Tamandua tetradactyla: one gene and its partners. The protein of the gene in region 4 interacts with the protein of the main gene of each other region in a biochemical or structural test. Links are inferred from orthologs where the notes say so. Each region holds a gene or a part of one and is shown on either strand. Other genes may lie near its edges. The genes, in order: SORCS1, NGF, LRPAP1 and SORT1.

What was found.
Region 1: the proteins of SORT1 (region 4) and SORCS1 form a complex in vitro, tested with the Homo sapiens proteins (2 studies listed by BioGRID and IntAct, with this or other methods). The link is inferred for Tamandua tetradactyla from reciprocal best matches to the Homo sapiens genes SORT1 and SORCS1.
Region 2: the proteins of SORT1 (region 4) and NGF form a complex in vitro, tested with the Homo sapiens proteins (3 studies listed by BioGRID and IntAct, with this or other methods). The link is inferred for Tamandua tetradactyla from reciprocal best matches to the Homo sapiens genes SORT1 and NGF.
Region 3: the proteins of SORT1 (region 4) and LRPAP1 form a complex in vitro, tested with the Homo sapiens proteins (4 studies listed by BioGRID and IntAct, with this or other methods). The link is inferred for Tamandua tetradactyla from reciprocal best matches to the Homo sapiens genes SORT1 and LRPAP1.

The regions. Positions count from the first base shown.
Region 1 is NC_135339.1:69,268,430-69,276,026, forward strand, and holds the start of SORCS1 (VPS10 domain-containing receptor SorCS1), read right to left. Parts: upstream 3,006-7,597; coding exon 2,448-3,005; intron 1-2,447.
Region 2 is NC_135337.1:5,863,510-5,871,128, reverse strand, and holds the start of NGF (beta-nerve growth factor), read right to left. Parts: upstream 3,016-7,619; 5' UTR 2,965-3,015; intron 1-2,964. UniProt on the Homo sapiens protein: Nerve growth factor is important for the development and maintenance of the sympathetic and sensory nervous systems.
Region 3 is NC_135345.1:3,642,507-3,649,633, forward strand, and holds the start of LRPAP1 (alpha-2-macroglobulin receptor-associated protein), read right to left. Parts: upstream 3,012-7,127; 5' UTR 2,986-3,011; coding exon 2,782-2,985; intron 1-2,781. UniProt on the Homo sapiens protein: Molecular chaperone for LDL receptor-related proteins that may regulate their ligand binding activity along the secretory pathway.
Region 4 is NC_135337.1:13,515,884-13,523,873, reverse strand, and holds the start of SORT1 (sortilin), read right to left. Parts: upstream 3,020-7,990; 5' UTR 2,970-3,019; coding exon 2,661-2,969; intron 2,373-2,660; exon of another isoform or gene 2,314-2,372; coding exon of another isoform or gene 2,173-2,313; intron 1-2,172. Other genes in the region: PSMA5 (proteasome subunit alpha type-5), read right to left, coding at 7,445-7,522.

The DNA of each region.
Region 1 (7,597 bases), on a different chromosome or scaffold from region 4:
CAGGTGTAGAGAACTTGACGTTCACAGTGCTCCCTCATAGGTACCATGCCGTGTAATTCTCTATGATTAATCTGACAGACACTGCCACCGCTTTAGAGGTGAGGAAACTCACACTCAGAGAGTGTAATCAACTTGCCAGGGTCACACAACACATCGAGAGAACTAGAACTCAGGTCTCCACGCAGCTTTTCATTTCTCAAAGTTGCCAGAAAAGTTTCTTTCTGCCTCCCTCCATTTAAAAAATATTTTAAGCTTTGTCTCTCTTGTAAGGCTGGATCAGTAAGTAGGGCCAGCTGTGATTTGGGAGACCAGGATAAAGACAATGTCTGTTCCTCCACAATCTGTTTGCATATACTGGGAAAAAAAGAAATTGTGTTTTCACCGAGGCAGAGGTGGGTATGTGCTCATAGAAAAAAGAGACTTCAGGGGTAAGAATCTCACTAGTTAGCATGAGCATATGGCTGCTCAAAACTTTAACACTCACCACCTTGGTTATTTTCTACATTGTTTCAGACCATCCTGCATGGTACTCATAGAAATCTTGACCCCAATAAGCCCCACTGGGCTTGTGAGCACCATTAAAAAAATAACCTGGCATGCATCATGCCATTTCTTAAATGGAGTTTCAAATTTCCCAAAGATGTACTTTCCTTTTCTCACTCTTTCCAAGATCTTTCAAGAGATGAACTAAAGTAGAGGTCTAATGGGTGAGTGATATTTTACAGCTTGAATTACATTAAAAGCCAGAAATATTTTGAGCCCAAAGTCCTTTGCTTCTTTATGAATGATCTTACATGTTTGATGTGTTTAAAATCTTCCCTTAAAGCCAGAAGCTTTGAGTTAATCACTTAAAGCAGTACGAAAGTTATTCCATCAGTTAAAGAAGATTCAAGTTCAAATTGGATGATTAATTTTGGTGATGGTTTTATGGAAGATATGATAGTTAAGGTAGAGGATGGGGGCAAAGGTCTCCAAAACTTGAATGGAAAAAAACAAATTCTGCTTCAATTCTTTAATTAAACCACTCCTGAGAACCACATAAAACCACAGGCTCTGACATGAAGGCTGAATTGTAGGTAAAACCCTGCCAATGCTCTGAGGATAGAATCATCAACAGAAAATACTTTCATCACGATTTGCCTTAATACAATTTATGCCGATGTATCCAAGGACTCAATAATAACAGACTATTATTTTAAAATATTCACCAGTTTCATTAAAGCTGACAATGAGCACAACTCACTAAGTGGCACTTCTCTAGGAACGTTTCTGGCAATTATCTCACAACTGAAAACACTGTGAAAAGTACCAGGCTGTGCACATTACAAACAATACAATCTGCAAGTCCCAACTTTTATTTATTCTTTCTTTTTTCTTTCATGTTACCCATCCTTTTCTGTTCTTCCTGTCTTGCTTAATAGCAGCCCAGAGAACTTTCCACACTTTTTAAATCATCTCCAGCTATTTTACTATAAAAGCTGGTTCTTTACTGTTTCAGCTCACTGAAGTTTGTAGGTTCCATTTAAACAGGAATACTACCTCCAAATAAAAAATCCAAACATCCAAAAGCTCCCTGACAGGACCACCCTGACCCCTCCCCCCACCCCACCGCCCACCCGTGTCAGCCTCCTTCCAATCCAGCAATCCCTTTCTTCCCTCCACAAAGGGAAGGCAGGTTTTTATTTGTGCTTCTCCCTAGAGGAGGTCAGGCAATGGGGGAAAACAGGGGGCTGTTGTCACTGGGCTATAGCTGCTCTTCCTGGGATGCTCATGCCTGAGAACAACTGCTCATTCACAGGCTGGACAGCCCCGGCTCTCAAAACACACTTGCTGAGGCTGTTAGAAGATGCTGGAGAGTTCCTGCCCTGCAACTTAAATTCACTCTGTCCTCAGAAACAGGGCACTAAAGGCACATATTGTTGACTGCAGTTCTTCTCCCCTACGAAGAAGGGGTTAGGAGTTGAGCACATAAAAAATAATAATAATCATTCATTTAAAAAGTAGAAGGCTACAAATAAATGTTTTCTTCATCTTACTTGAGCCCATCAGTAATCTACCCAGTAAAGGTAAAGTCACTTGAGGGAATGTCAGACGCCTGGAAATTTAACCCATTCACCTCCACATTCATTCTCCAGCCCTCTCTGTATGCTTGGTCTTGGGCTCCACACACCAAAGCGATCAAAGAAACATACCAAACCCTGCTTAGTTCAAAGCTTTCTTCGGGGTTTGGAGAGAACTACGACGGCGTTGCTGGAAGAGGGGGGCAGAGGGGGCAGTAGGTAATATTAATTCCTAGGGAAGGTGGGCAGGAAAGACTTTGGTTTGTAGCATTTCCCAAGTCCAGAAGTCCCAATCCCCCCCCCCCCCATTCACCATCAGTTCACACACTAGCCCACTTTAACCCCTTCCACGCATCACCCCTTGGCCCGCAGTCCCATTCCACTCACGCTGCTGTTGTGGCCAGACCAGTGGACCATGGCTTGGTTGTGCGCCGAGTCGCCTGTCAGCGCAAACGTCGTGCTGGTCAGTTTCAGCTCCTCCATCCGGAAGCGGGTGGCTTTGTCCGGGTCCCGCTCCTGAGTCCCAAGCTCCTGCTGCCCTCGGTCCTTCAGCACTCCCCGGGGACTCCGACTCGCGCCCTCTCCCCTTTCCTCCATCTCCCGAATCTCCCCGCTCCGTCTCCTCCGGCCGGAGCGCGCGGTACCCGCCACGGACGTCCCGGTGCCTTGGGCCCGCTCCAGGGCCAGTGCTCTGTCCCCGGGGGCCACTGCAAACAAGGGGCGCCCCAGGAAGGGCAGGGGCGTGGCAGGGGCACTGCCTTCCGGACCCCGGTGAGGGGACCCCTCGGGGGTCGGAGCCCAGCGCGGGGCCGAGCCGGGGGGCGGCGGGGGGCGACAGGAGCCCCCGCCGCAGGCGCCCGGGGCGCAGAGGATCAAGAACCCCGCACCGGCGAGGAGCGCGCGGAGCCCGGCCGGGGAGCCGCCGCCAGCGCCAACTTTTCCCATCGCGGGAGCGGAGAGAAGCGGAGAGGGGTCCCGGACCCGCGGGGGCGCCGCGGGGCTCTCCTCTGGCCAGCTGCGGGGGGCCGCCGCTCAGGACCTCAACTCCATCCAAGTTGGGCCGCTACGCGCGCGGGCGGGCGGGCGGACGGAGGCGGCGCCGGGCAGGTGGCGGCCGCTCGCCCGGGCCGGGCTTGTGCAGAGCGCGGGTTCGGACGCCGGAGCCGCCGCCACGCGGGGGTGGAGCCGAACCGAAGTCACGGGCGAAGGGGCGCGGGCGCGCTGGCCGACGACGCGGAAAGGAAGGGAGGGAGGGCGCTGCCGGGGCTCCGGGCGCCGCGTCCCGCTGCCGAGCTGCGCCGCGCGCCGGGGGCTGCGGGGACTGGATGCGCCGCCGCCGCCGCCCCTCCCCTCGGCCTCGCCGCCGCCGCCGCCGCCGCCGCCGCTGCCGCTGCCTGCTCGCTGCTCCCGCGCCCGCCAGTCCCCGCCACGAGCCCGCGCGCTCCTCCCGTGGGACGGCCAACCCCGGGCCCCCAGAGCGGCCACAGTGTGGGGGTTTCCCAGTCCTTCTGTATTGCTTTTCTCTGTCTCTGTTATTCACTCCTCCCACGCCCCCTCCCACTTTCTTTCTGGTCTTTTCCAGTTAGGAGACCGGCAAGGCTTGGCTCCTGCTCTTTCCTTCTCTTAGTCTCGGTGAGTTGGCATCTTGACATTACCCCGAGCACAGCCGGTGTGCCCAGCCCGGGGGAAATCCCGGAGGGTGTGTGTGTGTGTGTGTGTGTGTGTGTGTGTGTGTGTGTTTTAGGTTATTTCCCCCCCCCCCATCAGTTTGAGCCCAATCTACCTGTATTTAGTTATATTTTAGAAAGCACTTTCCTAATCCGAAGGTTTTGTGGGCGTATATTTCGGCTTCTCCGAGCGACTACAAACTCTAAGGAGAGGAAGACCGAATTGTGAGCAATTTAGAAGTGATTATATTTGGTTGCCATTTTATCCCCAGCGTTTTGGTACAGTGCCCTACAGAAATCTGTCAGTCATTAATTCAATAAATATTTATTGAAACTCTAGAATATATTTGCATGTAGAATAAATGCAGGGAAGGAGACACAGTGCTATATTTATTTTGTGTCATTTGAGCTTAGCTCAGATCCCCACAGGCCTGGAGATCCCCGTTAGCAAACTTAATGCCTGCGCTGAATGCTGGGCCACGAAGTTGCCGTGGGACCTCGGACAGGTCACAAACTCTCCGCCTCCTAAACTTTAAAATTAAGTGGTTGGATTAGATGACCTTTAAAATTCTTTTCACTCCTAAAATTCTGTAATTGTATGATTATAACATCTGCCCAGCCCAGCTCCCCTGCTACTGTTCAAAAGTTCAGATGAAGATTTATAGCAGGAGAATGGGCTTGAAAGTTAAACAAAGAATTTCTCAAAATTTTCAAATCGTATAATTCGAAGGACTGAAACATCCTCACATTCCTTTGTGGTTCTCACACACCTAATAACACTCATGTGCACATTGTAATTATTCAACGAATATTTACTGGTTGAATAAATGAATACCACAATAATATAGTACTAATTACAGTTTCTAATTACATTTCTATTAATTTTCACACTTGCATGGTGACCTCACTGAAAAAAATCTGGCCTCTTAGTTGGGATGGGACCAACTTGAAGTAACTGAGTAATAATTTCCTTGATTAATGGAACTCTTTCTGATGCTGTCCAAGAGACATTACTCTTATGTCAATTCAACTCAGTGGTGTTATAAAAAGATTAATCTCAATTATTATTCTTATGAATAGGCCAAGAAAAGTGCATATGTAAGGAGGGCAGACTTTGAGTACCTAACAGGACAAAGGAACGTCCATCTTGTCACTAAAGGAGACTTCTGCTCATCCTGCATCCTCCTAAGAAGGGAACCCTGTCGGACAGGCTCTAGACTGGGATGAGAAGAGAGCTACACTCCTCCCTGTCCCCAAAATTGTAAATGCTCTTTGTCAAAGCCTATGGCAGCCATTTTCCTCTTCTCAAAAAAGTTTCCAGAGCTTTGCAGGATCTTTTGCTTGACACCTTCTTTTCATGCCCTGCTAGCTTCCTTTCCAGTCTGAAGAAGTGTGTGGGAATTCCTCCAAGAGACGAAAACCAGATCAAATCATTAGAACCCAAATACAGCCCTATCCAAAGACAGGACTGGAGAAAGCAAAATGGAAATGAAGAAATTAATAGATTTGAGTATTTGGGGCCTTAGTCCAGTATTGTCCTAGCAGAAATTTAGATGGTTCTTGTTTCAAAATGAAACTCTTGCTGAAGAAAATTAAGGCGTTATAGCTGATATTTTTCTCCCTCCAGAGTTAACGACTCCCCCTTTCCAAAAATGCCTGTTCTAACAGTTTCATTAAAGTGGAGACATTTGCAGTCCATTTTCTGGGAATTTATAGAGGCCATGCATTTATTAATGCCCAGTTTTAGCTATCCATTTCAGAAAAAAAGTTAAATAGATGTTGATGGCATTAGCTTCAAGTTTTGTTTTTTAAATAAATTCCCCACTGACCTTTGTCAGCAAGAGGAAGGGGAAGTACTAACAATTCCTGAAATTATTCCCCTTTCCAGAAGACATCAAAAAATAGGCTCATCGTGAAGAAACCTGAGGTATTTTCAATCCAACAATCCACTAAGGAACCCAACGGATATTAATTTGACACGAGAAGAATAAGCACATATCTGTAATTCCTTTCACTGGGGAAAGGAGTCTTTTCACTGTGTCATGAAAATACGTCTTAAATGCTGCAATTCCTCACCATCTCCGTTGCCACCAACCTAGTCCAAACTGCCATCAGGTCTCACCTAGACCAGAGTAACAGCCTCCTTATTGCACTTCCAACACCTCATTTGCTCTACTCCCTCTTTTCTATACAACAGTCATCTTCAAAGTGAGATATGAGTACCCCAATGGCACCACAAGATGATGTCTGTTTGTGCAGGAAGAAAATAAGAATATTTTATATATTTAATTTTAATGCAAAAAGATTAAAAGTTAACCTTGCTAATTTTGACTTACTGATTCAAATGGTTACTGTATTAAAATATTAGCAATTAACCTTGCTAATTTTTACTTAGTGATTAAAATATATAACTATATTAATTATAACTATATAGTTATATATTTTATAACTATAATTGTGTGTAATACATAATATGCATACATATATATACAGCCATATATATATGGAGAGAGAGACAATGAGCATTTTGGAGCCACGTGCCCCAAAAGATCAAAAAGGTTTGGGCACCTTGCCCTACAAAGTAGCAATAGTGGTCATTGCTCACCATTGCTTCAAATGCTTTGATGCCTTACCATAGCAAACAGAGTAAAATCCAAACTCCTACCATGCCTGGGAGGCCTACATGAGCTGGATGGGCTCTACCACCCGTTCTTCAGTCCCTTCTGGCCACACCCTCCCTCCTCACACATGTGCTGCAATCACTCCAAAGTGCCAATATTTTTTTCCAGCTCATGACCTTTGCCATGCTGTTCCACCTCCCTGGAATGCTTACCCACTTCACACGGTCACCTCTTCTTCTTTGAGTCCTGCACTTTAAACACACTTCCTTACAGACTTTCCCCAACCCCTACCTAAAGGAAAAATTCCTTTCACATTTTCTCTATCAGACTCTTGTTAATACATTCACAACATACAATACAGCTTTCAATTATTTTATCTGACCCTGTTTGTGAGTGTCAGCTTTATATTTTTTAATACTCCCCACAAAGGTACCTGTGAATAGACCTATCTTCCTCGTTCACCTGTTAGTTTCCCAACACCTCCCTCAGTAGCTGGCTTATTGTTAAGTGTTCAATACATCATGGCTAGCTGAGTGACACATGTCTAGCAACTCTACCTACACAACTCTTAGTAACTAATGTTTTGTCAATCAGGAATTATGCTACGAATTTTACATGGAACCCATTCATTCGCTTGTTTATTTGTTTGATTGTTTTTACAAAGTTTATCTCAGCTAAGTATTATTATTTACATGAGGCAAAGCAACTATCTAGGGTCACACAACAATATAGTATAAGACACAAGACTTGAGCCCAGACATCTGATTCCTCATATGCTCTTGACTTTATGCAGCTGTGTTTCTGCTCCAAATCCAACCCACAGCAGATAACATTTATTGACAGTTTACTGTGTGCCAGACACCCCAGTTAGCACTTTGACTCATTTTTTAGTGTTGACGAAGCAATTCTGGAAAAAGTGAACAAATTAGTTTAGGCTGAGGGGAAATATTTATTCTCCATTTCTATTTGATTTGTTCTCTCTTTTTTTGTGTGGGGTGGGGGTGGAAAAATATTGAGAGACTGTTATACTTGCCAGTCATAATCTTACTGCCCTGGCTATTTTTAACTATCACACTGGATCTCCTTCTTCCTCCTTTTCTAGGTCTTTTCTTCTCTGATGGATACCTTGGCTTCGGTTTGTACTAAATCACATTATATGCCTCATCATAAAGACACTGTCTTTTAATAGCGCTCTAAATACTTGGCTCCCCTTGGATACCATTGAGACAAGGTGTCTTGCATTTCAGAT
Region 2 (7,619 bases), about 7.7 Mb from region 4:
CCCCAGCTGCATGCTTGCCTCAGGATCTCTTGGTCTCACCACTATTTGGAGTTAGGATCTTAACTGTTTTCCCACTGTCACGAAGAGAGGTCCCTGGAAATGGGTTTAGGAAGGGCCTCGCATTCCTCTTTATTTGCTTGATGCCCCCACATGCTGTTCTGTGAAACTGGACCACCAAAGAACTAATTCCTCAGGACCAACTCAGCCTGAAAGCTGATAGGCTAGTTGATGGTTTGCAAGATCAGAGGTTCTAGTCAAAGGAAAAGAAACCCTCTGGGAACAGAGGGTGTTTGCTCAGAGATATCCAGAGATTTTATGCAAGCCTTCAGTAAACCTTCCACTGCCTCCTGAGAGCAGCAAGAATATTAGCTGCCAGCAAGGATCACCGTGGCCTGCTCTGGACTCCAAAATCCTTGTACGTTCTTGCCAGGAAAGGGTAAATGGCTGGGCCTTGGTTCCTGTTTTGGCACCCACGTCTGCTTGGAGATCTGGGACTTGCATCTCTTGTACTTCCCTTGTAGTTTCTCTGAGGATCCAGGACAGTTGTTGCTGCAATAGGGCATTCCATAAACGTGCCGCAGTGCTCACCACGCATTGGAAAGCAAATTTGTGTGGTTTTCTCATCAGTTTAATCTCAGTAATGATGAGAAACTTCCCTCAGGCTCCAGCCCTGCCCTGCCCTGCCCTACTCTCCCTGCTGATGTCGGCAGCTGGGGCCCCTTCCTGGCGAAGGCAGAGATTTCTTGATGGGAGAGAATGGAAGCCCACAGCTTCAGCCCCTGGTCCTGCTGGCCCTGGAGGCAGGGTAGCTGTCGGCAGGCAGTAGGGAAAGTGGGAACCTCACTAAGGGCTAAGGGTAGGGAAAGGGTCATCGACACTGGCAGGAGTGTGGGCTCAGTTCTCCAATCCTCTGGCAGGCTGGGCTGCTTTAGGAATAAGACAGCTTGCCCAGGGAAGGCAGTGGTGCCAGTAGCTGGTTATAAAATCACCAGAGGTATTTTTACAGTTTTATCAAAACATATGTTCCCATGCCCCACTGCCTGTCCCAGACCTTAGTTTCTGATTTGTGGTGTCTCCTAACACTATTTTTCCCTTCAAGGCTGCCATTTTTCCACCTGCATAAAAATGTTGGGTGAAGTGAGGGGGAGGGATCTGGTACAGTGCAAAATTAATCCCATCCCCCTGCAGCCACCCTTGAGGGCTGAGGGACACTCATTTCTTCTGCGAGTTGGTGTGGACAGGGTCAGTCTCAGCCTCCAGACCACTCCCACGCCCCAGTCTACTATTCTCCTCTGAGTCTCTGGGAACACTGCCCATCTCTGTTCGACATTCGGGTTGCCAGGTTGGCATATAATTTATTCAACAGAAGAGACCCATCAGATGTCTAATGCAGCCTTGCTTCCTTAACTCTTCAGAGAGACAACATTTCAGACACTCAGAAGGAAACTGTGAACACTGGGCGAGAAGAACCGGTGGAGGCCAACTGTTGCTGCAGTGCTTGCACTGCCTTGAGAAGGAGAAAATATTCCCCTCCAGCCAGCAGTCCTGACTGACAGCTTCAAGACTTTGAAGAATAGCTGATCAGATCTGGAAGAGAAGTCACTGGTGGGCTCTCCACTAACATTTCTGAATTTGCAGAATGCAGCTGGCGATGCATGCACTGGGGGAGGAGGCGGCCAGGCTGGTAGTGGGTGTGCCCAGAGGATGGAGCCAGGACAATTAATCAAGTGCCTTTTCTCTAGGATTTTCATTGGCCTCAGATGACAAATGGGGCAGGGACACCGAGGAGGGCACTATTTTGGTTTCCAGCTGGGAACGTGCACTCAGTTTTCCTTAATACCCACAGCACCCAAAAGGCTTTGCTGTAATACACTTTAATGCATGAAACACCCATAAATCATCCTTCAAACTGTTACAACTTCCAACCTGGAACAACTTGGAAAAACCAGCCTAGCAAGCAAGCTCTTTTTTAATCCCTCAAGTCACAAGAGAAGAGAAAGTTCGAGTAGAAAACACCTTCCATAAGAATTGCAGAGATTTTGTTAAAGAAGGAAAGTCGTAATCAAACGGAGCTAAGCAGCTTGTTTACATTGGCTCAGAGATGCAGCTCCCTGACCCCTGAGTCCTTTCTTTCCCTCTTCTGGATCCTCGCGGCCCAGACCCAAGACGCCGCCCCACCGCTCCATGCCAGCTTCTTCACACACCTGGCAGCAGACAGCCGGGAGTGAGGCGTATGACCTAAGTGGGACGGCAGAGCCTTGCCGACCTTAACCTGGGCAACACCAGCGCAGGTCTGCGGAGATCTCTAGCGCGCCGGACCCCACTCATGGAGTTCTGTGTCAACACCCCGCGCCCTCGCTCGGGACCCTAGTCGGCCTGCGACGCGCGGAGGAGCCCTAGGACCTCTGCTCCATTCCCGGCAGCAGAGCTGACGCGCTGGGTCCCGCTCGCCCCCTCACCTGGAAGCAGCGTGGCACTTTCCAGACTTGGCGCGCACCCCGACCCGCGCGCGCTCCGCACTCTCTCTCCGAGGAGCAGACCACCACTCCTCCCGCCCCGGCGCGCTTGCAGCCCGCGCGCATCCTCTCCCTTCCACACGTATTCACTCTCCCTCACTTGCGCGCTGTCCCCTTCTAGCCCTCGAACCTGTCCCTGGCACGGCCCAGTGGCTTCTGCACGCTCCAGGGGTGCCTTCCGGATTTCGGGCCAAGCGGGGACTGGGACCTCTGCGGACCAGAGAGCACGCTGTTCCCCGGACCCGCCCGCCGAGGGTCCCGCGCCCCCGCACCCACTCGGGACACTCCTCCGGGTCTGCACCTCACCCGGGACAGCCTCGGAGGTACCCGGAGATCTCACCCGACCAGGAGCCATGCATACCCTCCCGAATCGCCCAGCCACCCCAAACCGCACCCCGAGCCCGCGCTGCGCCCCTCTCCCGGCTCGGCTCGGGGCAGCTTGACTCACCGCTGTGCTCCCCTCAGGCTCCCAGCGCTCTCTGCTGTGTCGGAGCGCCGAGCTGCTCTTTCAATTCTTAGCCCCTCCTCCCTGGGTCCTGAGTCACACCCGCTCCAAATCCTGGCCCCCTCCCTCCCCACCCCCCACCCCCCAGCCCCGCACCTGCTCTGGCTGGGCAGAGGCACCCCGCGGCAGGGGTCTTGGGGGCTGGAGATCGATCGCCCCCAGCAGGGCCGGCGGGACCCAGAGAGCGAAGGGTCCAAACCAACAAAGGTCAAAGGGAAACGCTCGGGACGGGGGTCAGAGGAGCCTGGTGCGCCAGGCAGGGACAGCGTTTTTGTGCGACACAAGGTAGGGGTGCAGGCCCGGGACGCGAATGGGCCGACAGACTGGGACTGGGCGAGGTTGCCCGGTGCTCACCTCACCTCCCTGCCCTCCCCCCACTACGGCGCGTTGCCTGCCTCCAGCGTCTCCGGGATCTGCTCTTGCTGCCCTCGCCCCAGGAATGGGCTGCACCCTAAGTAGTCCGAGCACTCTTCATCCGTGACACCTCTGGTCACCCTGGACAGGCGAGCAGCCAGGGGAGCTGCAGGTGCAGGTGCCTGGGTTCCTCTGCCCTGAGGGAGGACGGCAGCTCCGAGAGCAGGAACCAGCTAGAAGACCCAGCCCCAGCCAGTAGGGAAGGAATAAGAGGCAAAGAGCTTCAGAGTCAGGACCTAGGCCCTAGACCTTGATTGACAGCCCTGGATTCTGTGGGCTTCAGGGAGGACCCTGACCCCTCTGAAATCTGTAGGCAAATCTCTATGTTCATGTGAGGTCTGTACATTTTACTGGGAAAAGGGCCCCCAGCTTTCATCAGTTTTGCAAGATGTGCGGCCCCAAACTGGCCTAGATAGAGTCTTCTGCCCCACCGCATGCCCTAGCGGAAACCTCTGTTACCCCACTTGCAGGATCCTAAATGAGATGGTATCTCCCGGCCTGCCCTTTACTATTTCTGAGTTCCCTGAATTCACATCCTACCAGGGGAGTTTCCGTGGCTGATGCCTGTCTTTCTGCCCCACCTGTTCTCAACATCCAAGTTAAAGCTAGTGATGGAGAAAGACCCCTAAAGTCAAGTTTTCACCAAACGTGCATGATTAGTAGTAACTGTTCTAGAAAGCCATGACACCACAATTCAGCTGAAGACCACCCTCAGGGCGTGGGAACTTAGCCAGGCACAGGGGCTCCTGTTATGAATTCGAGGGTGGTCCTTAACTTGCAGTGGACAGCATTTGAGTGAGGTGGGGACCTGCCTGGGTGCTTCCAACCCCCTTAATACATACAGATTCGAGATCTGTACTTCTGTTTTCACTTTTAAGTCCATGCATATTAGGCATGCTCTGAGAAGGATGAAAAGGAAGAAAGCCCTAGAATTAAGAGTCAGCTTTAGTTTGGGTGTGACCCCCCTTATTTCCCCGCAAAAGCTTGTCCACTTGTGATTTGTTCAAATACTGGCTAGTGGATCAACATACTTTGGAGGCAAGGGCAAGAGGCCAGGGAACACCGTAAATGGCCCTGTCTGCAGAAGTAGCATCACAATCAGATTGCTCCATTAGAAAATTTATCATGGTCAATTAAACAAAGAAATTTCCAGGCAATAGAACAAATTTGTTCATCAATCATATCAAGTATAAACTTGTTTGAAAGCATCCGCCTTAAGCTTTACATAATAGCTGTCCAAGAATTTAGAGATGAAGTTGAAAATTTTAGAATAACAAAGAATTTGGGGTTGAATACAGAGCTTTTTGCATGTGTCTTTGTGGCATCACCCAGAAGGACAAAAGAATTTGGGGCACTTGTGGTTCTTTTTCATGTGGTGTGTAAGAGGGAAATTCAAAATGATGTGAGCAGAATCTAAGTCTCAGTGTCCCAGCCCCCAAATTGTTGCTCATATTCTTATGGCACACATTGGTTTAGTAAGAGCTCCTTTCCATCCTGAGTAGCATTGTTTCAGTCCCTGAACTTTAAGGTCTTGAGTAAATAAGGACACGTAAAGAACAAACAATAACTCCAAAGATTATTGGGGGCCTACTATGTGCCAGATCTGTGCTATGAGACAGATATAGGGTATGGGGGGAGGTGCTTGATTATTAGACCTTGGCCACATTTATCACAGTCTCCCCAGATGTTAGCACAAGGCCTAGCACATAGTAGGTGTTCAATAAATGTTTGTCGAAGCATTTATCTGGGAATAGTCGGAGTCATTTGTGGCTGTCAGACAACACTGGATCTGTTTTCAGCAGGTTCCAGATCAGGCTGGCCTTGGCACAGAGATTATAGCCAGGTGTCTCTTCTCTGGCCTTTTCAGCTTTCATGAAAAGCCCATATGAAATGCCCTTCTCTTGGGTCATCGTGACAAGGACTTTAAGGCCTGGGCTAGCTGCATTTATAGGAATAAAAAAAAAAAGAGAGAACTGAGAGGGCAACGACCAGAAGGAATGGTACAGACAAGTAGAGGAAAAGAACGTTTTTCTGTACTAGATTTTCTCGAAAGAGCTTTTATCCAGGGTATCAAAATAACCAGCAGCTGATGGATTTGCTGACTTGGAGCTCAGATTGTGGCGTATACAGTAATTGTTGTTATTTCTGAGGATTCAGAAGACTGAAGCCATTGAGTGCCTCGTCAACAGCAGCCTCAGCCCAGCATAAAGCTCTTGCCTATTGCTTTGTTGCAGAAGGCCAGGACAAAGTGCACATGCTATTTAAAACACCAAGAGGCTCAGCAGTGATTTGCCAGCAAGGATGAAATCTTTGGATCTGCTTGCTCTATGTGTGAAACACAGAAATATCTTCCCAATTGCTGGAGGAAGTGGTAGCTCATTTCAAAGTCCCCCCTCCACCATCACCACCACCACTCCCCTGCCTTCTAATCAGAGTGAAGAAAAAAACTTCAGAAGAGGAAATATTTCATAATGTTTAGCGCGATGACATGGTTACAGGATCACAGAGATGACCAAATCCAGCTACCTCATTTATGGACGACGAGACAAGGACTCAGCCAAGTACCAGAACCTGGGTCTCTTCACCTCTGAGGCCCATCCCTGTCTACTCCTGGGATCTGCTCCCAGCATTTGCCTGTCTCTCTCTCTCTGATAGCTTGTTTCTCCATCTTTGCAGGTTCCTTCCCTTTTACTTGCAAACATTCATTTGGCTTTTCTCTCTTTAAGAAAGTGCTGGCCCAACCACTGGATTTCTCAACTTCCTTTCACCACCAAATTCCTCAGGAAAGTGATCTACACCCACCGTTTCTTTGGCTCCCCTTAAACTTCCTGCAATCTGGTTTCCATCTTCTCCCCCCTCCCCTTCCCTTCTCCCTGCCTTAACTGACATTGTCTTCTTAAAGGTCACAGTTGCAGTAACACCACCACCACCAATATAATAACAGCAGCGTTTATTGAGTGCTTCCCTCATTGCAGGCACTGGGCAAGACATTTTAAAGGCTCTGTCAGTAGGAAGGAAGATGAAGCTTGAAGAGGTGAGTCACTTATCCAGGTCTTGTGGCTGGTCAAATGGCATAGTAGAGATTTGAACCCAGGCCTATGAGGCGGAAGCTCTTGCTGTTAAACACCAGGTCTCCTGCTTAGTTTACCCAAATTTAGTTGACATTGCCAGTCACCTACCTCCTTGCTGAGTTCTCTGCAGCCTTGGGCTCTGCTGATGACCTTCTATCAAACACTTTCCTCTGAAGACGTCTAACTGTACTTACCGTCTACCTCTCTGATTTCTCCTTCTGCCCTGTGAACTCATGTGCCTCCCAAGCCTGTACCCTGTTCCAGGAACCCCCTCCTAATTGCATGATTCCAGCCCATGGCCTCAGCCCTGATCTCTCATCCACACTCAAGTCACTGACATTTTTGAGCATCCATTATGTGCATTATGTGCTACCTAGGTTCTTGTTTCAGGCTACCTGGACAAGCACTAGGCAAGATCTGTGTTTCTATCTCACCTCTGACTCTCAGCTCCCTCCATCCAAAATCCTTGGCCCCTTTCTTGAGCAGTAGCCCCACTGATCCCATTAAGGAAACCGAGGTCAGCGAAACTGCTTGGGTTGAGGACAGTTCAGCTCTTCTCCAGCAGGGGCACTGCAGCCTAGGAAAGATACCAGCTTGAAACAGGGAGAATTTAGCCCAGTTATCCTGTCTATCCTCAGAGGCTGAGTGTGACCTTGGGAGAAAGACCTATTCTTTTTGAGTCATCATAACTATAAACAGAAATATTTATAGAGCAACTGCTGGGTGCTGGTCCTGTTTTAGGTGCAGGAGATTCGGCAAGTAAATAGAACAATCTCTGGCATGGAAGTTACCTTCTGGTAATTTGTTTCCCTCTTTTAATAAGTATTTACTGAATGTACAGTATATGCCAGGCCTATAAAAGGAAAATCGTGGTTTTGGTGAGCTTGATTTGGGTAGGAGGGTGAGACAGCTAAAGAAACAAACAATGAAGAGTCAAGTCAGCCATCTGGGGATTGGACTCTATCCATTGCTCTCCTGACCCGAATGGCTGCGAGCCTCCAACTTCTCAGAGGGCCTCCAACTCCCCACAGTGACCACGACTACAGCCCAGATCAGATCTTCATTGGCTCTGTCTTCAAAGAGACATTTCCTTGTCCTCTCACTAGGGCAAGT
Region 3 (7,127 bases), on a different chromosome or scaffold from region 4:
GGCCTCAGCATCTCCTTCACATCCACCCACAGTGGTCACGGAGCCCTGGGTGAGAAGCAGATGGTTCTCTGCGTATCCTCACTGATCACAACCCTGCCCCCTGCCCACGCTGGGATGGCGGCCACTCTGCCCAGGACCCAGCTCGCCAACACCACCAAGTGAAGCACCAAGGTCTCTCCTGACAACGGGGAGCTCCGCTGGCAGTAAGGACGACGACAGTGACTGTCCGGCCTGTGCACCAGCTCACCTGAGGTGACACAGCACCTGGGGCACAGGCTTTAGCACCACTGCTGAGAAGGAAAACCAGGGCAAGGTAGCATGGACTAGAGTCTGCCCACAGAGCACGAGGACATAGGAAATGCTGCAACACAGAACCCTCGACCTGGAGAACCTTCAAATTTTCTACACGAGAGACTTCCACATATGACTCGAATTCTAGGGGGACTGGAAATATCTTGTCCAAGGAGCAGAGGCCTGCAGGAAAGCAACAGGCCAAGCAGCAGCTGGGCGGATAAGGGGGTGTGACAGAGGGTCCTGCAGGGCAGGTGAGGGCTTGGGACCAGATTCCACGAGCAGAGGGAAGCCATGCATGACCCTGAGCACCAGGGTCCATTTCCCCACAGAAACCCCAATGCAGCCAGTTTCTTCCAGGTAGGGTGAGGGGCCCCTGACCTTGTCTCTCAACAGATGCAAGGTGCACCATCACGGGGCCGACTGGGGACACAACAAGCAAGAACAGGCCTGCTCCCTTCCTCCAGGGAGCCTCCCTGGCACTCCAGTCCAGATCTCTCTCCTACCACCACAAGCTGACCACACACAAGGGGGCTCGGCTGCCGGGCCTCCCTCCAGCAGAACCCTGGAAAGAACACTGGGCCCAGGGAAACGCTCCCAAAGGGCCTACTGAGTCTGGTTTCCTTGTGCCCTCGCAGTTTCCTCCACCCACCTGGCTCTCCCCTAGCTTTTGCCCTTTCCCACCTCTTTCTTTCCTGCCAAAGTTTCTCTTTTTCCTTCACAGACTTAATCCTCTTTCTCAAAGTGTTGACTCTCCTTCTCAAAGATTCAAGGAATGTTAAACGTGAGAGACTCAACAGATGATCTCCTCTGACCCTCTTGGTTTCAGAGATGAAGATTCTGAGCCTGGTAGGCCAGCGTGTAGTGTGTAAAGACCCACTTCACGGAACACAGCCCTCTGCCTGCCAACTGCAGTAACCAACCACCATGTCAATGTGAAGTGTGGCTGGTGCTGGGGCACTGAGGCGGGGCAGCAGCCTGGACTCTGCTCCTACTGGTTTGAATGACCTTGGCAGATGCCCTTTCCCTTCTGGGCTTTGTTATCTCCATTTCTAAAAGGAAGAGGATGAGATTCAACCATCTGCTAAGCCTCCTAAAGTTTTAGCATTCCTTCAATCTGGCATTCTAAAGCCACCCATCTCTTTACTTCCCCATACCTTCTGCTCCTTACCCAAATTAACCAGAGTTCACTTGCTTTTGGGGCCCCAGGATTTGCCTTTATGCCCCAAATCATCTATTTTGCCTGCTTCTCCATATAGGGAGATATAACATAAGAAAAAAGGCAAAGAACTAGAAGCCATGGGACATGTGATCCAGTTCCACTTCTGCCCCCAGGTCCAGTCAGTTCAGGTCAGCACAAGTAGGGGAGGTCCCTGGCACCGAATGCTCAACAATACCTTCAGGATTAAAATGGGGAAAAGAAATGTAATAGAACAAGGTTATGAGTGGCTAAGAATGTTCAAATGGACTCTAGAAGCTGTTCTGGAGACTTATGCAAGCTTCAGCTAGATATTGCTAATTGCCATGGTTTGCCAAACCCTAAACAACATCATTCCAGTTAACCCTAAAGAACACCTAGGGCTCTAAATGAGACTCGACAGAAGCTTCACGTATTAACCTTACTTCCCTGAAACCTACAATCTCCAGAGGGTTCCTAAGCCAGAACCCCCCGGGGTCCAGCCTCTCCAAGAACATCACTAATTCCATCCCTCTATCCTATATTGCTGACCACCCCCCTCCTTTGCAACACGAAAAAGTTAGAATAGGTAAGGCCTAAAGACCCCTATAGACTGGGAGTAGGCTCAATGGAGGACGAGCTATAACGGAGAAGAAAGGATTAACAAACGAGTATGACTGTTGAATTACTATAATGATATTTCTTTTAGCTTCTAGTGTTCTGAAGCAGTTACAAGGTAAAATCTGAAAATGTGGAATGGTAACACATACCAAATCTGTTCTTTAATTGCATGAATCTGATTGAAATCTGTTCTTCAATTGCTTGTCAAAATGTATTACGAAAAAAAATTTTTTTGTATGTATGTTACATTTCACAATAAAGAACATTTAAAGAAAAAAGCAAGGAAGGCATGTGTGCACGGCCGGGGCTGGGTGGGGGTCATCACCTAACCTTGCTGGATCTGTCTCCAGATGTGGAGAATGGGGTCGACCCCAGAGCCTGGAGGCGTGCGGGCAGCTGCCAAAGGGAGGTACGGCCCACGACGGGGTCTCCCTTTCCTGCTGCAAACGGGAACGTGACCGCGCCCACCCGACACGAGGGTGAGCCTTTGCCAAGGACAAGGGTTTGTAAACGGCACTATCCGGAGCAGACGGTCCTGCGGGCGCCCCCACCCCGACCCCTCGGCCCCCGGGCCCTGGCGAAGGCCAGACTCGCAGCGCGAGGAGCGGACCCGAGCCGCGGCCTCCCGCCGTGGACAGGAGGGCGCGCCTTCAGCTTTCCCGGGCCCCCAGGCCGCGCCGCGACCCGCTCACCCGCTTGGCTTTCTCCCACAACTGGTTCAGCTTCTCCATCCGGAACTCGTCACCGGGTTCGCGCTTCGGGGGCAGCCCCGGCTCGTTCTTCTCCCGCGAGTACTTGCCGCCGTGTCCGGCCGCCGGCGCGGGCCCGACAAGGAGCAGCAGCAGCAGCAGCAGCAGCAGCCCGCGCGGAACCGACCCGACCTTCCGCGACGCCATCTTTGTCTGCGGCGCTGACCCGGAGACCCGGCGCTCTGCGGACGCCCGGACGCCCCGCCCCGGCCCGCCGCACCGCCTTCTGGGAGTTGTAGTCTGTCCCGGCGCTGCCGGCCCAGGCGAGGCCGCCGGCGGACTACACGACCCAGGAAGCCCTGCGGAGACACGTGGACGTTTCCCCGGCAACCGCGCCACCGCCTCCGGAGCAGGGTGCGGATGCCCAGGGCAGAGCCCGACGCGCCGCGGACTCCTGGATGCCGGGGATCATTCCGGGGTCGGTTCGGGAAATCTCAGCACCCACAGCCCGGCGGAATGTCCGAAGGCCTCTTTCCCCCCTGTTCCCTGGAAGGAGGGAAACGTTCAGAAGCAGGACTATGTCTGGCCGAAGCCTTAGATAGTCATTGGTCTTGGTCCCGGAATTGGGGACGCCACCCTACCTGACGCTCGGAGGCGTACCCGGCGGCGCTGTCAGGAAACTGAGAAGCGCTTGCTCCTACCCTTCCCGTTATAGAGGAAGGAAAACGGAGGCCCAGGGAAGGGCTGAGCGGCAGACGGGTCCAAGTTGAGGCTTTCCCCACCGTGCAGAGAGCGCCCGCGCGCCCCAACGCTGCCCCATCTCACACACAACTCGTTTGCATTTTTCCGTGTTAGAGATATCTATGTACCTGTCTCAGTTCTCCTCACCCCAGTCGGGAAACCCGCTGAGCGAAACTGGCCGTGGCCAGGATGCTTAGCAGTGCCCGGTGGAGAGAGGGTGGGAAACAAGGGGAAGGAGTGGACACAGACTGCTGCCCAAGTAGCTTGAGCTATAGGATGGAGTAAAGACACCGACAAAGTGGGGCTTGGTAAGGGACAAGAGCCTGTCTGGCAAGGATGATGGAAAAAGGCCTCGGAGGGGGCTGAGGGGTGGGGTTGAGCCTGGAGGGGAGGGCGTTCCAAGTGGAGGGAAGATAAGGGCAGAGAGGGTGGAAATGGCCTGGGCATCCTGATGGGAATTCATATTTATTTACTTTCAAGTTGTTCCAGAAAAGGTTTAAGGGGCCTGGAATCAAGGAACAATACTGTGTCTCTCACTGCCTGATATCCAGTATCTTGAGAGCCATTGTTTCATATGTTTTGTCTAGTTTTTTAGTTGCTTTAAGTGGAACGGTGATTTAGATTCCTCAGTGTTGATGCATCATGAGATGGTTGGCCTGAACAGCGGTAGTTTAATGGCTCACTGTTTTGAGGCTAGGAAAAGTGTAAATGAAGAGGATGCTTGCTTCCCGGTGTGCTGGGCTGGCCGCTGGCGGCCCTGGGCTCCTCTACCACAGGACAATGCACATGGTGGCATCTCCAGGCCTCTCCTTTCTCTTCTGGGTTCAGTGACCTTTTTGCTCTGGCCACTCCCTTTGTGGCTTTCTCTCTGTGTGTCTGAATTTCGTTCTGCTTACAAAGGACTCCAGTAATAGGATTAAGACCCATTCTGATTGAATGGCCCCACCTTAACTGAAATCAGCTCATCAAAAGGTCTTTGTTACAGTGGGTGCACACCCACAGGAATGGATTAAATCTAAGAACACGTTTTTTGGGGGGATCCATAGCTCCAAACCACCATAGAGGGTAAATTCAGTCTTTGTTCCTCAACTACCCAGTTGCCTGGCTTTTAATATTTAATGCACTCAACCTGCATATTAGTTAGGCGCTGTGAACTGCTGTGACAGACAAGCAAAAATGTATACAAAAAATGTATAAATGGCCCAACAGGATAGAAGTTTATTGTTACTCCTGTTTAAATCTGAAAATCATGGAGACATGTTGAGTGAAATAGGCCAGATGCAAAGGGACAAAAATTGTATGATTTCACTTACATGAAAATAACAATAATGTGTAAACTCATAGAGACAGAGAAAATTACAGGGTGGAGGTGGGGAGCGGAGAGCTAATGTTTAATGGATACAGAGTTTCTGTTAGGAGTGATGGACCATTTTGGTAATGGATGGTGGTGATGGTAGCACATTGTTGAATGTAATTAACACCATTGATTGTACACTTGAAAGTACATGTTACCAGAATTTTTTTTGTGTTAAACTATATACCTGATACATGTGAGAACCATGAAGACCTCATATTGAATGAAATAAACCATACACAAAAGGACAAATACAGTATGATCTCTCTTACATGAAATAAATAAAGCAAACAATTTCCTTGAGTCAAAACTAGAATACAGGTTACCAGGGACTGGAGTCGGGTAGGGAATGAGGAGTTAGTATTCAAACAGCACAGTTTCTATTTGGGACAATGGAAAAATGCTGGTAACGGATAGTGGTGATGGTAGCATAATAGTGTGAGTATAATTTGAATATAGTTAAAGAGGGGAATTTTAGGTTGTAGATTTGTTGCTAGAATAAAAATTTGCAAAGCAACAACCGTAGGACTGAGCAGCACAGAGAACCCTAATGTAAACCATGGTCTATAGTTAATAGTACAATTGTAGTAATGTTCTTTCATCGGTTGTAACAAATACACCACACTAATGCAAGATGTCAATAATGGGGGGATACAAAGGATAGACTAAGCCTACTTAAAATTATGTCTAAGAGTCACCCCCAAGAGAACATCTTTTGTTGCTCAGATATGGCCTCTTTCTCTCTCTCAGCCAACACAACAAGCAAACTTGCTGCCCTACCCCAGTCTACGTGGGACATGACTCCCAGGGGTATGGACCTTCATGGCAACGTGGGGCAGAAATCCTAGAATGAGCTGAGACTCAGCATCAAGGGATTGAGAAAACCTTCTCCAACTGAAAAGGCAAAGAGAGAAATGAAACAAAATAAAGTGTCAGTGGCTGAGAGATTCCAAACAGAGTCAAGAGGTTATCCTGGAGGTTTTTTAATGCATTAAATAGATATCACCTTTTAGTTTAAGGTGTATTAGAGTGGCTGGAGAAACTGCCTGAAAATGTAGAGCTGTGTTCCAGTAGCCATGTTTCTTGAAGATGATTGTATAATGATGTAGCTTTCACAATGTGACTGTGTGATTGTGAAGACCTTGTGTCTGATGCTCCTTTTATCTACCTTGTCAACAGACAAATAAACCACATGGAATAAAAAATAATAGGGGGAACAAATGTTAAAATAAATTTAGATTGAAATGCTGGTGATCAATGAAATGAAGGGGTAAGGGGTATGGTATGATTTTTTTCTGTTTTTTTTATTTCTTTTTCTGAATTGATGCATATGTTCTAAGAAATGATCATGATGATGAATATACAACTATGTAATGATATTGTGAATTACTGATTATATATGTAGAATGGAATGATCAAAAGTTAAGAATGTTTGTGTTGTTATATTTAAAAAAATTTTAAATTAATAAAAAAATAAAACATTATTCAGAAAAGTCATCTTACAGGATCAGGATTTTATGTGATGTGTGGGAGAGGCAATGTTCTGAAAATCAACTGGGAGAAGAAAATTCATAAATATTAATAAGTAGAAGCATCATTATTGATAATAAAATACAAAGCAAAAAAAAATATTGGAGGGGTATATGGAAATTTTATTTCTGCATGATTTTTTCTGCAAACCTATAACTTCTCTAATAAATTAAAAGAAATATGTATAAACCTACATAAAATTGGAATAAAAAGCCGTGAAAGTCAAGAGTTCCTGATTGCCTGTGCCATCTTCAGCCCAGAGTTTCCCAGGTTGTGTCCTCTGGCAGGGGGCTGGTGCTCTGGGGATCTCTTGGGGGAAGTGGTGGGTGGGCCAGGCCTGGGGCGGCTCCACCACCTCTGCTTGCTTCCACAGCCTCAGACCAGGTATGTGGTCACCCCTACCTGCAAGGGAGGCTGGGAAATGCCGTCCAGCTGTCTACCCAGGGGGAAGGGAAAATGAGACCTGTGGACAGCTGGCCCACCTTTGTCTTAGACTACCTGGGGCTCTGGCAGACTGCTGACCTCAAAGCCCATGGCCTTCCAGATCCTGGCATCATGAGGCATGAACTTGACAAAGCCAGGATATATCGGAGTGGTAAGGGCCCAGAAGGTTCATCTCGGTGTACAGTTTCCACTGACAGGCTGGTAAACGGAGGCTGAGAGACAAATTGCCCAAAGTCACATCACTGCTGAGCACCTTTCTGGGTTGCTTAGTTGCTCCCCG
Region 4 (7,990 bases):
ATATGAAAAATATATACTGTCCACAATAATTAAATCCAGTACATGTGAAATTTAAAATCAAGAGATTGGGGGTGGGGGGGTGGGGGGGTGGGGAACGATATGAAAGAAAACCTCCCAGAGAGAAATAAGGAGGCTAGAGAACAAACTGTTGGATTTCATGAGTGTAGAACCCTGAGTTAGTAGGGCACAGGTTTCCTAAAACAAAAAGACCAAAAGCACTATCATGCTTTAGTATTATTTTATTTTAAGAAGATTAATTAAATGCCAATATATTCTCACAAGCAAAATAAGTCACAACAACAGGTCTAGGAGATTTGCTAAAATGTGCTGGAGATTTTCATTCTCCAGTCTGAAATATCTCTGGGAGTAGGGGAGGACATCTACAGCACCCCCAGTATCTAGCAGAAATCTGGGTGTTTCGTGAGCATTCACATATATTGTTTATATAAAATTAATATGACTTGAAATGAACAGCATCAATTTACAAAAAATAAGAAAATCAAGAATCTTTGATTTTTCTTCAGAATTGAATTCTGTTGCCTTATAGAGAAAATGACACGTCCCTTCCCCAGCTGTACAAAAGTGTACAATATTTCTGATAAAAAGTTGGTCTGCCATGCTGATACTTTTCTTTCACACTTTTTATAAAAGGATCCCAAAATACAAGAGCTCTATATACAGTCTGTAAGACTTATTATGACTTACAAAAATAGAGAATGAAAAAGCAAAGCAGACAATTAGATAACAATTCTTGGTTCAGGAAACAGAATCTTTAACAGCTACTTTACCTAACCATTTTTAAGGTGAAGCCTACTAACAATGGCTCTACTTTTGATCAGATATCAACTAACAACAACAACAAAAAATGGGATTCCTGAAGAAGAGACCATACATGCTTAACCAATACAAAAATAGCTATTTTTAATTAGGTCACTGAAAAAAGAATGAAAAAAAAAATAGAAACTAGAAAAAATCATTGGAAACTAGCTAAATAAAATGAAAAAATTAGAGGGAGTCTCTTTACATAGTCTTCAATAAATGAATGGTTTCAGATCTGCTCTGGAGTAGATTTGGCCTAAGAGCCCCCTGAATCAGTTTTCTCAACTTTTTACTTTAAGAATCAATGTATTAGAAATGACATATCAATTCAAACCAACCACAGAAGACTGTGACTAAAGGAATAAATCCAGGAATAGCACCAGACCTAAAGGTGATCCATCCAGCAAGGGAAGAACCTGAAATGTGAAGTGAGAATGCAAAATCTAGCTGTCACAAAAACGGAAGTTGTCTTGGGATAATTTAAGCATCAGTGTTGTAAAGTCTTTCTCAACCCCCAGCTGTGAGAAAGAAATCTACACAATTTTTTTTTTCCTCATCAAAGAGGAAGACTTCTCAGTAAATCTTCCACCCCATCAGTAATCAACATGCACAAAACGGACCCACCCACCCTTCAGTGCTAACTTGGCTACCTTCTTCCAACTGCTTGGGCTGCATAAAGTTGAATTATTTCAGAATGTCTGTGCCTTGACCCAAGAGTGCCCTGGGTCCCCGATGTGAGAACTATGTCACGGATAACAAGTATGGCCCAGGAAGAGGGAGAAAGACAGTTCAAGGGTAAACTGAGGCTCGGCTGATGTGCAATGTGGACAAAGCAACACAAGGACAACACAGCAATTCTCTTTGAAAGAGGAAAAAGGACAATCATGATAAATAAAGTGGAGAAAACAGGCAAGACTATGAGGGAGAAAATACATTAAAATGAAAGTACATTATGCACATGTGGGTACATTATGCACATGTGGGTGGCAACAACTAAATCGTTAACTTGAGAAAAACATGAGGAAGACGCCCAAGTTGGACTGAAGCAAGGAGCCAGGACATCCCTAACAACCGGCCTTGTCAATCCAGTAGTGTACAAAGGTTGAGCTACTTGTCCCCACGGCCAGAGAAACTGCCACGATTTTGAAACTTCTGACTAGGAACTGACTCAAAGCAGAATCTCTGCGACGTCTATCTTACTGTTGGAAATACTGAGAAGGCTGGATATGGACATTTTGGCCTGAGTGGGATGTCCACGACAGAAAGCCAGGTTTGAAGAAGATCACATATGTACTGTCATCTCATTTCCGAACCTGCACCTTTCTCTAACTATTAAAACACACACACACGTACAAAAAGTGTCGTCCAGCAACTGCTCTTCGGGTTTCTGTCCCCCTGAAAGCAGTGATCCAGAGAGGGCACACCTTTACTTCCGAGCCCAACTTCTCCAAGCACTTCAGAGGTATCTGCTTTCTCCAGCTTCCTGGTAGACATTAGCGTTTTGGATCCTGATTGTTTACAGACGGAAAACAATGACGCTCAAGAGATTTTGACAACTTAAAAAAAAAAGAATGCCGTGAAAAGTCTAAGATTGCCTGTCCTGTGACGAAACACAGGCGTGCCGGCAGCGGGTCCGGGGGCCGCCCGAGCCCAACTCCAACGCCGCAGTTTCGGGGCCGCGGGCGGGGTGCACGGGCGGGGCCAGGCCCGCGAGCAGCCCGGGGTCTCCTTCTCCTCCGAGACGCGAAGCGCGCGAGGAAAAGAATGGGGGTCCCCGCCGTAGAGGCGGCCGCGAGGGGCCCCGGGGGCGGCACCTCGCAGTCCGGGCGGCGCCCACTCACCTGGTGCGTGTTGTTGGCCAGCCTGGCCACGAAGTCCCGGACCCGGCCGCAGTCCTCGTCCTCGCCTAGCACGCTGCGGCGCCAACGGCCGCCGCGGGGAAACGGGCCCCCGGCCGCGGCCGCGCGCAGCCCCCAGCTCACCCCGACGGGGCCGGACCAGCGCGGCAGCGGCGCAGCAGGCGGCGGCGGCGCGTCCAGCCGGTCCTGGCCGAGGGTCGCGGGCGACAACAGTTGGAGGAGGAGGAAGAGGAGGCTGAGGCCGTGGGGCCAGCGCAAGGGGCTGTCCGCAGCTCCCCGGGGCTGCTCCATCGCCGCCGAATGCCGACGCCGCCGACACCTGCCGCCCGGCGCGCCCGCCCACCCCCGCCGGCGCCGCGCCACACCCCCGAGCCCGAGCCTGGCGCTCCTTGGATACGCGCAGCCGGGCCTCTCCGCCCCCGTAGGCTGATCGCCTGTCCTTCTTCCCCGGTCCACTCCTTATTGGCCCGCGTCGCCGCTGGCTTAGGGGGTCCTGGATTCGGATGCCAGGATGCAGGACTGATTGGCTGGAACGTGGCAGAGACGGCTGAGGTCATCCCTCCCCCCGCCCCTCCCCCGCGCCCTCGCCCGGCGTCTCTGGGGCCGGGCTTCCAGAGTTCGCTTAGGGAGCGTTCCCCACCTTCCCGCGAAGCCCCCCGCTCTCCTTGGTATTTTTTCTGTTACCCTCAAGTTAAGGCTGGGTTAGTCCCCTCCCTTTCCCTAGAGACAGGGAATTTTAAGGGAATTTAATTCCCTTAAAATTCCTTCGGTTGCGGCAGCGCCTGGAAAATCTCAGGGAATTCCTGAGCTCGCTCAGCTGCAACAGGGGGCTTCGTCGTAAACTGGTGCTTCAGGTTTTTAACCCCCGCGCACTGGGGCGCCCATTGTCTGCTGAAGCAGCAGCCTTGCTGCCAAGGTGAACGCGAACTGTGTGGGCCAAATCCTCCAGAGGCAGATAGACATCAGGACATCCGTGACTCATGCAAAAGTGAAGAAAGTCTTTCCACTACATATGGCCTCATTCGCCTTCCTCTTCTACAGGGAGGTAGGCCAAAGGCATAATTACTGATTTTCCTGGAGTGAGAAAGTAGCTTAGACATTAGGGGCAGGAAAAAGGGGGAAATGCTTACCTTGTATTTGGTCATTTCATAGATGCATATTTATCTTTACCATATGCCTTAACCGTGCAGTGAATGCAATGCACAAATTTGGCTTTCTGTTTATGATGTCCCCTAAATTAGCATCCGCCCCCAATAAATAAAACAACCCCCCCACGCTGCACCCTTTACTGTAGAAACTGCAAACAACTTTTAGAACGTGCAGCACAAATAAAACTAGTTCTGGATCTTTAATCTGACTCCATCCCTTCAGAATGATAGATGTTCAATATAAAAGGTAGCAAAGAGAAAGATACAAAAAATATGCAAAATGTTACATCCAAATAAAGAAAGTAACTGAAAATTATCTTTTAACTATAAACTGGCAGTAAACACAAATGAGAGTATATTCATTGTAGAGCGAAATGGTGTGGTGCACCTAACCCAATTTTTACATCAAAATCCTTCTGGTCAGGTTCGAAGTGAAAAAAAATATATATATCTTATATGTATGTATATATGTGTATATATATATATATATTTTTTTTTTTTCTCCCATTCTGTGGGTAGTTTTTTCACTCTTTTTTTTTTTTCTCATGGGCAGGCACCGGGAAACCAACCCGGGTCTCTGGCATGGCAGGCGAGAACTCTCCCTGCTGAGCCGCCGTGGCCCGCCTGAAAAATATTTTTGAGTGCCACCTGAGGATGGTAAAATCACTAGAATAGTCCTCTAAGTTCTTAGCTACTGAACGGACAAGATAAAGCGCCATGAAATCTAGTGAACAATATTCTCCTTTCCGGAACTATTTTTTAAAATACAGATTATTTTTTAATCTATGCCAATTATGGAGTAGATCACAAGACAGTCAGTTCTAGTAGCATGTGATTAGTGGGAGAAGAGGGATTAAAAGGAATATTTCTTTGTTTAGGTGACACAAAGATGAATGGTCTATTGTCTTACTGTCTGAAAAGAGCCAACTCGACAGTGCCATCTCTTGGAGAAATTACCAAATACACTTAATAAAAGATTATTTTAAAGGAATTATCCTATGCAGATTTAACTCTAAATTGAATATTAAGGTGTTGCAATTATCTAGTACCTTCCATTTTTAATAGCTATTATATGCTTATAGTATATACATATATATATATATATATTTCCTTCCTCAAATTATCAACTGCTGGGGAACGGGTTAGGTTTAGGAACTGAAAAAAATGAGCAAATGAATATAGTATTTCAATTTTGTTTAATAGCAGGCACTAAATACAAAAACTTTTCACTATCAATTCTCCCTTATGAAACACTGCACATAAGATCTTATCTTACTTGTAGGACCAAAATATGTGTATTTATCTTATTGAAACTAAACTTTTCTCTAAGATAAATTCTCTAGGAGAAAGATGAATAGAAAGCGATTACACATCACAAAACCATTGCTTTTCCTAGTAAGATCATTCCTTCTATTTAAATGGACACAAGAAGAAACCTTGTAGAAATGTTTAATTTTTTGTATTTGATTTTCTACAGAAAATCAAAGGTCTAACTCTTTGAAGAATATGCATTATAATTTAGAGGGTATATTTACTGTTTTACTAGTTGTACTCTCAGATACAAATAAACTTCCCAGGCAGTGGGAGGAAAATGTAGTATAAGCTGAAGCTCTGGGCTAAGAGCTACTTCTTGGTATTTTTCTTCCCTACATAATTCATGTGATTCAGACACACACCTCTCTCACCTCTCCCTTAAGCAGTGTGCTTGGTCCATTTCTACTTTGACCTAAACTAAGCTAAAAGGGAATACTGATTGTCTGAGCTTCATGAAAACACAAACCATATCACAGCTCTATGCCCAATGCTTAAGAGTACCTGACATACAGTTGGTACCCAATACATTTGATAATTAGTTTTTCATGCTATTTTCCACTAGGGTTTAATAAAATAGTGAACATCAAAGAAACTAAGAACATGATATTATATATATATATATATATGAACATGTTATATTCACTAAGATAGTAGATTAAAATCATTAGAATAGTCCCCAGAACATTGGTGACAATATATAATAGTTTCCTTTCCTTATGAGTGCGTCTAGGGCAAAATTCTTCTAAATTTGTTTCCTGTCATTGCAGCTTCCAAATGTACATAACCACAAATTATTTTTTGCTGAAACTACAGTATGAATTTAATAAGAATTCAGCCTACTCAAATAATCAGAATGTATTTCACATCATAGAGTAGTTTCTTACAAATGTTAATGAACCCAATACATAGATCCCAGCAAGTAATTCTGGGGTTCTCACTAGTGAATTACCACCAACCAGTTCTGCCTTATCCACCGGTGGACTACCACATTATGGATATTAGAAGTACATTTCAAATTTCCATATTTCTCCCTAATACTCAGAAAATATTTGGTTTCAAGGGGCCTGGCATTATAAAATCAAGAAGAGCTGGCGATAGGAAACCAGTTCAAATCTCAGCAGCAAATTTTCTGTGTCTATGGCACAGGGCCTCAGATTCTGAATCTTAAGGTAGGGATAATGATACCTACTTCATATGGTCATTTTTTTGGTTTTGTTTTATATTTCTTTTTATTTTTATTTTATTGTATGGTCATTTTTAAGGCTCAAATAGATTGAGTCTTTAAATAATCTCAACCAATCATATGATGGAAGCTGTAATGGGGATAATTATATAACCCATCCCTAAGTCTAATGTGAATTACTTCTGAGATTTGTAGTGGATTGCCAATGAGACCAAGATCATGAATTTCTTTCTTTTATAGTCCTTAACTTCATAAAAGGAAAATCTCTTTTCAAATTGTACCCTTTATCTTAATTATGTTCCTATCATTCTTAATTCCAAATTAGAGGAGTTCTGATGTACAATTGTTGTGACTGCTCTATGAGCATTTGGAAAGATCCTGCATGTTCTCTTTTCCAGATATACACACATACAATTGCACACAGTTGTGTGTCCGTGTGTGTGTGTAAATTAGCTTTACCATATTATGAAATTAGCTCTCCTATAACTTTAATTTTCCATAGACTGAGAGAATCTACTTCTACTAGTGTAAAAAAAAAATCTGTGCCCTTTCTCTAGACATAACACCAATGTCTATCAAGACACAAGGCCTGGTACAACAGTGTAGACGACTTACTATAACCCATCAGTGTTTTGGAGAGGACCACAAAACGAATCCTCTCAACAGTCAATTAGTAGCATCTTTTCCACAAAAGGAAAGAGCGAAAATACATATTTACTCAAGAGAAACTACTACAGGATTGAAACGCGTTTACAGTGGCATTAACATCTATAAACCACTGGGGGGAGCTGGACTAGTCTGAGTTCACTTGCCAATGCCAAAGGATTCTCGACAGTCATTAAAAGAATTTTAGAATAGACATTCTCGTAGGATAGGAAAATTAATACCACTACCCTTTCTTCCCCCTAACATAAGTATTTCAAACAAAAGACTGCAATGTAAGACAGTCTATTAACAAATATTTTTAAATTCTCTTTATTTTCAGAATTGCCTTTATGTACAGACATCATAAAAAAATGCTCATACACTGGAGATTTTCTTAGAAACAGGAGCTGGAAATAAAACTTGAGGGCAACTGGGAGAACTGAAATTGTTCCAGAAGTTCTGAGGATCACACTTTCTTAAATGTCCTTGATAACCTCTTCAAGTTCTTCCTTTGTGAACATGTGGAAATTCTGGCCAGGCTGCACTGTAGCTAGCTGGAAAGAAAATAGGGAAGGGTTAATGAGCTGGGCTCAATTACCCTGCTGATCACCCTAGCATGGCCTGGAGAAGCTGTGTTGGTGATGCAACTGTTCATTAAGAGCTAAGGGATCTGCTGTCCCAGGGATCTCCTTTCCAGGCCATAGGTCCCTAAAATAGCTCTGATTCCAAAATAAAATTCTTATTGACCGATTTTCTATTTTGAGATTAACTACCACACAAGAGTTAAGCAAATGCCTAGTGTCATTCTCACTTCTTGAAGTTACTTCACAAAGTTCTCTCTCTCTCTCACACACACACAATACAGCAAAGTTTATGGGGTCAGTACTTTTTTCCTATTAAAAATTTCTGTAGAGATATATTTTAACCACTTTCAAGCTGAACTTGTGTGTGACCTTGGGTTACTTGGTCACTCTGTGCCTCAGTTTCCCCATCTTTAAAATGGAGAAAAATCCTACCTGACA